2 linked regions of the Danio rerio genome follow. The protein of the gene in region 1 interacts with the protein of each later gene in a pairwise test. Links are inferred from orthologs where the notes say so. Each region holds a gene or a part of one and is shown on either strand. Other genes may lie near its edges.

Region 1 (3,481 bases):
CATCTCTAAATGCACTCTGGGATGGTTTGGGTCGTAGTTCCGCACCCCGTGGTACATCTTATTTACTCCACCCTGAAAGGAAACACATAGGAAAAATTAGTTTTTCTTCTTCAAATATTTCCCAAATGATGTTTAACAGAGCAAGGAATTCTTCACAGTATTTCCTATACTATTTTTTCCTCTGGAGAAAGTCTTATTTGGTTTATTTTGGCTAGAATAAAAGCAAGTTTTTATTTTTTTTAAAACCATTTTGAGGTCAAAATTATTAACCACTTTAAGCCATATATTTTTTCAGTTTTCTACAAAACAAACAACTGTTATACAATGACTTGCCTAATAATCCAAACTTGTCTAATTAACCTAGGTAACCCTTTAAATGTCACTTGAAGCTGAATACTAGTATCTTGAAAAATATCTAATCAAATATTTACTGTCATAATGGCAAATATAAAATAAATCAGTTCTTAGAGATGAGTTATTAAATCTATTATGTTTAGAAATGTGTTGAAAAAATCTTCTCTTCATTAAACAGAAATTAGGGAATATCAAATTTAGGAGAGCTAATAATTCTTAGCATTTGTCTGCTTCTTACCTCCCATTCTGGGTAGTCGTGTTCCTGCAGGGAGCCGCGGTGTGAGCCGGGCAGGACGACCAGACACCCGTTTTCTCTGTGCACTTTCTCCATAGCCGTCCAGGAACACACTATACGATCTGCGGGTCTGAAGGGGAAGTAGTGCAGGTCCTGGTGCATAGGATGGCGGGAGGTCTTCTTACCTATAGAGGGTAAAAACAAGTGGGAATATAGGCGCTACTAGTCAAATTTAGGACTTATAAATGCATACAGTTAATGTCAAAATAATTAGCCCTACTGTCAAATTTTAATTCTTTGATTCTAAAGGATTCCCATTTGTTGCTTAATCGAGAGAAGATCATTTCAACACACCTTTAAACATAATAGTTGTTTATTTCCAATAACAACTATTTGACATTGCATAATATTTTTCTATTTATTTTGCAAGATGCTAGTATTTGGCTTAAGGTGGAAATTAAAGACTTAACAAGGTTAGGGTTAGGATAATTAGGCAAACTAAAGGACAACAGCATCTTTTATTTCAGTCAAACTTAAATAAAAAACAAGACTTTCTCCAGAAGAATGAATATTATAGGAAATACTGTAAAAATGTCCTAGTTCTGTTAAACATCACTTGGGAAATATTTGCAAAATACATTGCATACAAATTTCACTGGAGTGCGAATATTTTCACGTCAACTGTACTTAAAAGTATAGATCTCATTTCTTCATATATTATTTTTTATTAAATTATTAAAATAAAAAGATATATGTAGATACAATTCTTTAAATAGTGGTAATATAATATATATTATATCATGTAATATATTCCTATTATTACTACTGTGGTTTAGACACTTTTTTTTTTAATGATGCAATTTTTTATTTTCTTCAGTAATTTAACAGTACCTTTTAACATCCCCTTTTCCCTCCCCTCCCTAACAGCGGAAGTGGCTGTAATTAGATGTTGCTATCATAAATCCAGTAAATACAGATAAATAACATAAACTCAATTAAAATAAATAAATAAAATAAATGAATCCACGGTTTAGACACTTTTGATGTAGAGTATTATGTGATTTATTACAACTTTAGTACTGTTAATTACTATTGTTAGTACTGCTTTGAATTTGATGGCTTCATACGTATGTGTAAATATAAAAACATATAAATAACATATATATTCACATACAGTTGAAGTTAGAATTATTAGCCCCCCTGATTTATTAGTCCCTGTTTATTTTTTTCCAAAATTTCTGTTTAACGGAGAGAAGATTTCTTTAACGTATTTATAAACATAATAATTTTAATAACTAATTTCTAATAACTGATTTATTTTATCTTTGTCATGATGACATTAAATAATATTTGACTGGATATTTTTCAAGACACTTCTATACACCTTAAAGTGACATTTAAAGGCTGAACTAGGTTAATATATACTAGGCAACTAGGCAGGTTAGGGTAATTAGGCAAGTTACCGTATAACAGTGGTTTGTTCGGTAAACTATCGAAAAAAAAATCTTAAAGGGGCTAATAATTTTTACCTTAAAATGGTGTTTAAAAAAATTAAAAACTGCTTTTATTCTAGCCGAAATGAAACAAATAAGACTTTCTCCAGAAGAAAAAATATTATCAGACATACTGTGAAAATGTCCTTGCTCTGTTAAACATCATTTGGGAAATATTTAAAAAAGAAAAAATAATTCAAAAGGGGGCTAATAATTCTGATTTCAACTGTGTGTGTGTGTGTGTGTGTGTGTGTGTGTGTGTGTGTGTGTGTGTGTGTGTGTGTGTGTGTGTGTATATTTATTTATGATAATTTTTTTCATATTATTTAAAATAGCATATATTATTTTAAATAATAATTTAAAATAGCAATAGCAAATTAATGTAATAATATAAAAAAATAATCATAAATATAAATATAAATATATATATATTTATATATATATATATATATATATATATATATATATATATATATATTTATATTTATGATTATTTTTTTATATTATTAAATTAATTTGCTATTGCTATTTTAAATGCTATTTTAAATTATTACGAACTTCCAATTCTAGACTATAATTATTACGTAAAATGTACATTTATTTCAGATATTATTTAAAAAATCCCTAGAATATTCTCCTGCTTATCAGGCTTATACCGTGTCTACCCAAGGATGTTAATTCAAAAACACATCCGACTTGGGCAACTGAAGCATTGATATTTACCTGTGTCTGGTGGTTTGTTGATGAGCATAGTGTGCATGGCCATGATGTTGGGTCCAGTGAAACACTCCACATACTTCAGGATCTGAGAAACAAACATTTTAAATGATTATATATGAATGTGCTCTTGTTGTAAAGAGTGTTATATATGCATTAAGCTTGGGTCTACCTGGGGTAAAACGCAGTAGCGGAAAAGCTCTGGATCTTCTTGATAATCCTGAAGTTTGGTCACAGCCTTCTCGCCCTCAACAAACTCTGATTTAGCGATCGAAACATCTTTCATTACCGTCAAACCAGGCACCTTCACCTCTCTCTTACAGATGCGCTCAAACTCGTTCCTACAAAACACACACAAGCACCTGGTTATGAGCAAAGTAGAGCGCTGACCGCTTTTTTTATCAGCGTTTCTGTAAATGATTTACATTGTGTTTACATAATCTCCTGTTAATGGAGCTGAAAAGAACTTCTGATTGATTTATTGTGGAATAATGCATTGAATTTTAAAATAATACACACATGGTTATGGTCATGAATTGATATAAACCTATTGGATTCTTGGATTTTATTTAAAGAATGCATGGTCACACTTTACAATAAGCTTTCAGTAGTTAGTGTATTTGCTGATATGAACTAATAATGATATCATATACAGCATTTATTAATCATAGTTCAACATTTA
Region 2 (4,361 bases), on another chromosome or scaffold:
AAAGTGCTTGTGGTAATTGTACAGTTAGTACAATAACACAACAACTTTAGTAATATAAACAAATGATCCAACAGTGTAGTTTTCTCCAATATCATACAACAATACATCACAGTTTACTGTAGTAAAAACAAAAGTGTTTATTACAATTTATCAGTTAACTATAGTTAATACTACACAGTGTAGTCTGTGCTGCAATAGTTATCTGCAAAAATAGTTGTCAATTCTACAGACTATTATATACAGCACAATACACTTTACTATAGTAGGCTATGGTTCAAAAACACTGTAGTATTTACCAATGGTATTTACTATAAATTACTGTAGTATTTTTTCTAATGTGGCAAGTCTTTACCGGAGAAATGCTGCCCTCTGGTGTCATTCAAATAAAGCTTCATTCATGTTCTTCATTTACTCACGTGTTTATTTTAAGACTTATAATCGCCAGATTGAAAACGTCTGATGCACTCATTTCTATTAATTACAAACAATTCAGAATTAAAGGAAAAACGCATAAACATGCACGTATATCTACAATAGATCAAAACTGCTTCTGCAAATCAGCGTCAAGGACGTCATCCACATGTGACCAACCACAGCATTGCGTTCGTCAGCTCACCAAAACACGGAAGTAAACACTTGTCATACACATGTTTTGCGCTAATATGGAAGTTAAGCAGGGCAATTGTTTCATTTGTACAGTACAATTATAGGTTTAATCGTTTTAAACGTTTTCCTAGGTGACAGTACGTATATTGGTGGTTTTCCACAAACAAAAAACGTTATTTATTGTAAATGGGTTGTTCGTGGACTTTAGACTATTTCTGCACTCGTTGAGTTATTAGAGAAACGGTATGAAGTCGTTTAAGTCTCCGGGACGTCATGGATATGCGGTGGAGATTTCACCTTTTTTGCCTTCTACGATGGCATGTGCTTCCTCTCAGTATTATGGAATAGCAGGTAACGTTAGTGGCATGTACACTACCTGACAAAAGTCGTGTCGCCTATCCAAGTTTTAGGAACAATAAATAACTTGACTTCTAGTTGATCATTTGGTATCAGTAGTGGCTTAAATGAAAATGGCTCTAGATTACGCTTATTTTACTAAGATAAACTATGATCATGCCTTGATTTTTTATTATTTATAAGGACAGTACGGTCTGACTTTGCTTGTCACTGAACAGAAATATTGTGGAATAAAAAGTCATGGTGCAGTGGAAAAAGATTTAATATTGTGTATGACTCCAATGAGCTTGGACGACTGCATCCATACATCTCTGCAATGACTCAAATAACTTATTAATAAAGTCATGTGGAATGGCAAAGAAAGCATTCTTGCAGGACTTTCAGAGTTCATTAAGACTCTTTGGATTAATCTTTAATGCCTCCTCCTTCATCTCACCCCTAGACATGCTCAATAAGGTTCATGTCTGGTGACTGGGCTGGCCAATCCTGGAGCACCTTGACCTTCTTTCCTTTCAGAAGCTTTGATGTGGAGGCTGAAGTATGAGAAGGAGCGCTATCCTGCTGAAGAATTTGCCCTCACCTGTGGTTTGTAATGTAATGGGTAGCACAATATCCTTGATATCTCAGGCTGTTGATGTGTTCATCCACTCTGCAGATCTCTCGCACACACCCATAGTGAATGTAACCCCAAACCATGATTTTTCCATCAACAAACTTTACAGATTTATGTAAGAATCTTCGGTCCATGCGGGTTCCAATAGGTCTTCTGCAGTATTAGTGATGATTGGGATGCAGTTCAGCAAATGATTTATCGGGAAAATCCTTCTGCCACTTTTCCAAATGATCAACTAGAAGTCAAGTTAATATTTGTTGCTCTTACAACTGGGATCGACGACAAGGCTTTTGTCAGGTAGTGTATGATGATTAATACAAAACTGTGATTTTGACATAAACCTGTTTCTTGGCTTTTAGGATGTGGGACACTTTTTGTGCTGGAGCAACGGGAGACAGATGTTTCACTTGTGAAGAGGTAATTTAATAATAAAAGATGAAAAAGCAATTATAAGTATGACAACAATATGTAATACAATTGTATACATAAAAAAAATTATGATTTTGATTTATTTTTATTTCTAAGCAAAAAACAATTACTAGAAAACATTCAGCATGTTTTAGCACTAATTCGGTGAACATTAGTTAATCTACTACAAGAAAAGTCTTGTGTAGCAAATTTAAACAACAAGTATTTGATGACCTATATTAATTAAAAGTTTATTTTTAATGATAATAGTGTTGTTACACTTTGCTTTTATCCAAACCTATTTCACCTATTTGTCCGCCGAAAATTAGAATTTGCTTGAAATATGACCAAATTCAGTATGGTTAATTATCCTTATAGATTTCTAAAAGGGTTAGTTCACCTTAAATAAAAAAATAGCTCATGATCGCGGCATCCTAAGTGCATATTTTAAAACTTTTCTGTTATAACAGCAAAGGAAAACCACCAGAATACATCAAAATGCTGTTGTAGTTGTAATTTCTATACGTTATAAAATTACAATTTCATTTAAGATTTATATAATTCCATGAACACTGTTTTGTATTCAGTTATGTGAACACACTTAAGACAGTCAGAGGAAATTACATAATTTATTGTAATTTTTAAAAAATTGATATTTTTATAACAAAACTGCATCAAATCGCTACAGAAGGGCTTCATTCACCCCCAGGAGCGTATGAGGCATGTTTTACTATAGATACATGTGCTGTTTTAAACTTGTACTGAAGAAATTTTCCAGTGTTTACTATCGAAGACAATTTTATATAATTAAATTAAACTCTGGATGGATTTATCAAAAGAAGTCATACACATCATGTGTCTCTTGTAGGTGAGTAAATGATGGGTTATATCACATTTTTGGTTGTACTAAACGTTTATTAAGTAAAAATCAAAAACAGGTTTCCCGGTGATGGGTTGTGGCTGGAAGGGCATCCGCTGACTAAAAAAACGTGCTGTATAAGTTGGCGGTTCATTTCGCTGTGGCGACCCCGGATTAACAGAATTAGTGTTTAACTTAATTTATGCACAAATATGTCACCCATATTTTGGTGCTTAATTTTCCTAATACTTAATTGAAAGAATTTAATACACTTTCTATGTATAAATAAAAGCATTTAGTTGACTGAGACAGACTTCAAAAAATTAAGATATGTAGTCTTTTAACCATCCACATAAAATGTCTCTAATAATAATCATAGCTGGAAAATAACCAATAATATATTTGCTCTAAAGGCAAATAAAGAAAATTGTAACATTGTGTCTATACAATATAAAAAATCAATCTGCAAATTTTCTGGAGTTAAACATTTTAGTTTGCACATACAGATTGGAAACATTTAAAATGACACATACAAGTCAGACCTTTAATACTTGTTCTGTGGTCTGTCCAATATAGTGGATGGGATTAATTGTCACAAAAATGTTACAGTCCAACTTTCTAGGCAAATCCTAATGTACAGTAGTCAAGGAGGAAAGGTCTAATCAGTAATGTGATGCATCATTAAGTAGAGCTTGAATCTCTTTTTTTTGCCTCATGGACAGTTTTGACTGGAACGATGGTCTTTTCGATGTGACATGGAGTGAGAACAATGAGCATGTGCTAGTGACCGGAGGAGGTGACGGATCTCTGCAGATCTGGGATACAGCCAATCCACAAGGTCTTCTGCAGGTGCTGAAAGGCCACACACAAGAGGTCAGTTCACAATCTCCACTTCTAAATGGGCATATTAGGGCTCTGTTTTCGCTGGTTTGTAATTGATCGCATTTAATTGTAATGCAGTAATGTGCACCTTTTATAAAGCTGCTTTGAAACAATAATTATTGTGAAAAGCGCTATACAAATAAACTTGAATTGAATTGAACTGGTGTGTTTTCGTATTAATTTTTTTTTTGCAATGGGTACATCTTGTGGTTTTGACCCAGATTTCAGGCTAGTGTACATTCTGGGGATATGTTGTTTATAATGAATGGCATAATAATTTTTTTTTATTATTAATTGTATTTTCGATTTTTGCCTTCTGAGTACTGGAAGATTTGAACTCAATTTATTACTAAACTTTTATATTATTATTATTATTATTATTATTATTATTATGCATTTCATATTATTATGTAATTTATATTTTGCATTTATATTATAAAAAATAAACATACAGTTTTGTACTGTAATTATTTAAGGGGTAGTTCACACAAAAATAAAAATTGCTCGCATTCAAGTATTTCTAAATGTTTCTTTATGAATCTTTTTCATCTGCTTACACAAAGCAGGATACTGTGAAGAATGTTGGGTCAAAGCAGCCAATATCATTTATATAGGAATAAAGAAATATTATGGAAG

What was found.
Region 2: the proteins of phyh (region 1) and pex7 interact in a two-hybrid assay, tested with the Homo sapiens proteins (2 studies listed by BioGRID, with this or other methods). The link is inferred for Danio rerio from reciprocal best matches to the Homo sapiens genes PHYH and PEX7.

The regions. Positions count from the first base shown.
Region 1 is NC_133179.1:8,314,076-8,317,556, reverse strand, and holds part of phyh (phytanoyl-CoA dioxygenase, peroxisomal), read right to left. Parts: intron 3,141-3,481; coding exon 2,972-3,140; intron 2,888-2,971; coding exon 2,806-2,887; intron 775-2,805; coding exon 593-774; intron 73-592; coding exon 1-72. UniProt on the Homo sapiens protein: Catalyzes the 2-hydroxylation of not only racemic phytanoyl-CoA and the isomers of 3-methylhexadecanoyl-CoA, but also a variety of other mono-branched 3-methylacyl-CoA esters (with a chain length of at least seven carbon atoms) and straight-chain acyl-CoA esters (with a chain length longer than four carbon atoms).
Region 2 is NC_133195.1:42,862,045-42,866,405, reverse strand, and holds the start of pex7 (peroxisomal biogenesis factor 7), read left to right. Parts: upstream 1-1,410; 5' UTR 1,411-1,487; coding exon 1,488-1,548; intron 1,549-1,935; coding exon 1,936-1,993; intron 1,994-3,565; coding exon 3,566-3,716; intron 3,717-4,361. UniProt on the Homo sapiens protein: Receptor required for the peroxisomal import of proteins containing a C-terminal PTS2-type peroxisomal targeting signal. Specifically binds to cargo proteins containing a PTS2 peroxisomal targeting signal in the cytosol.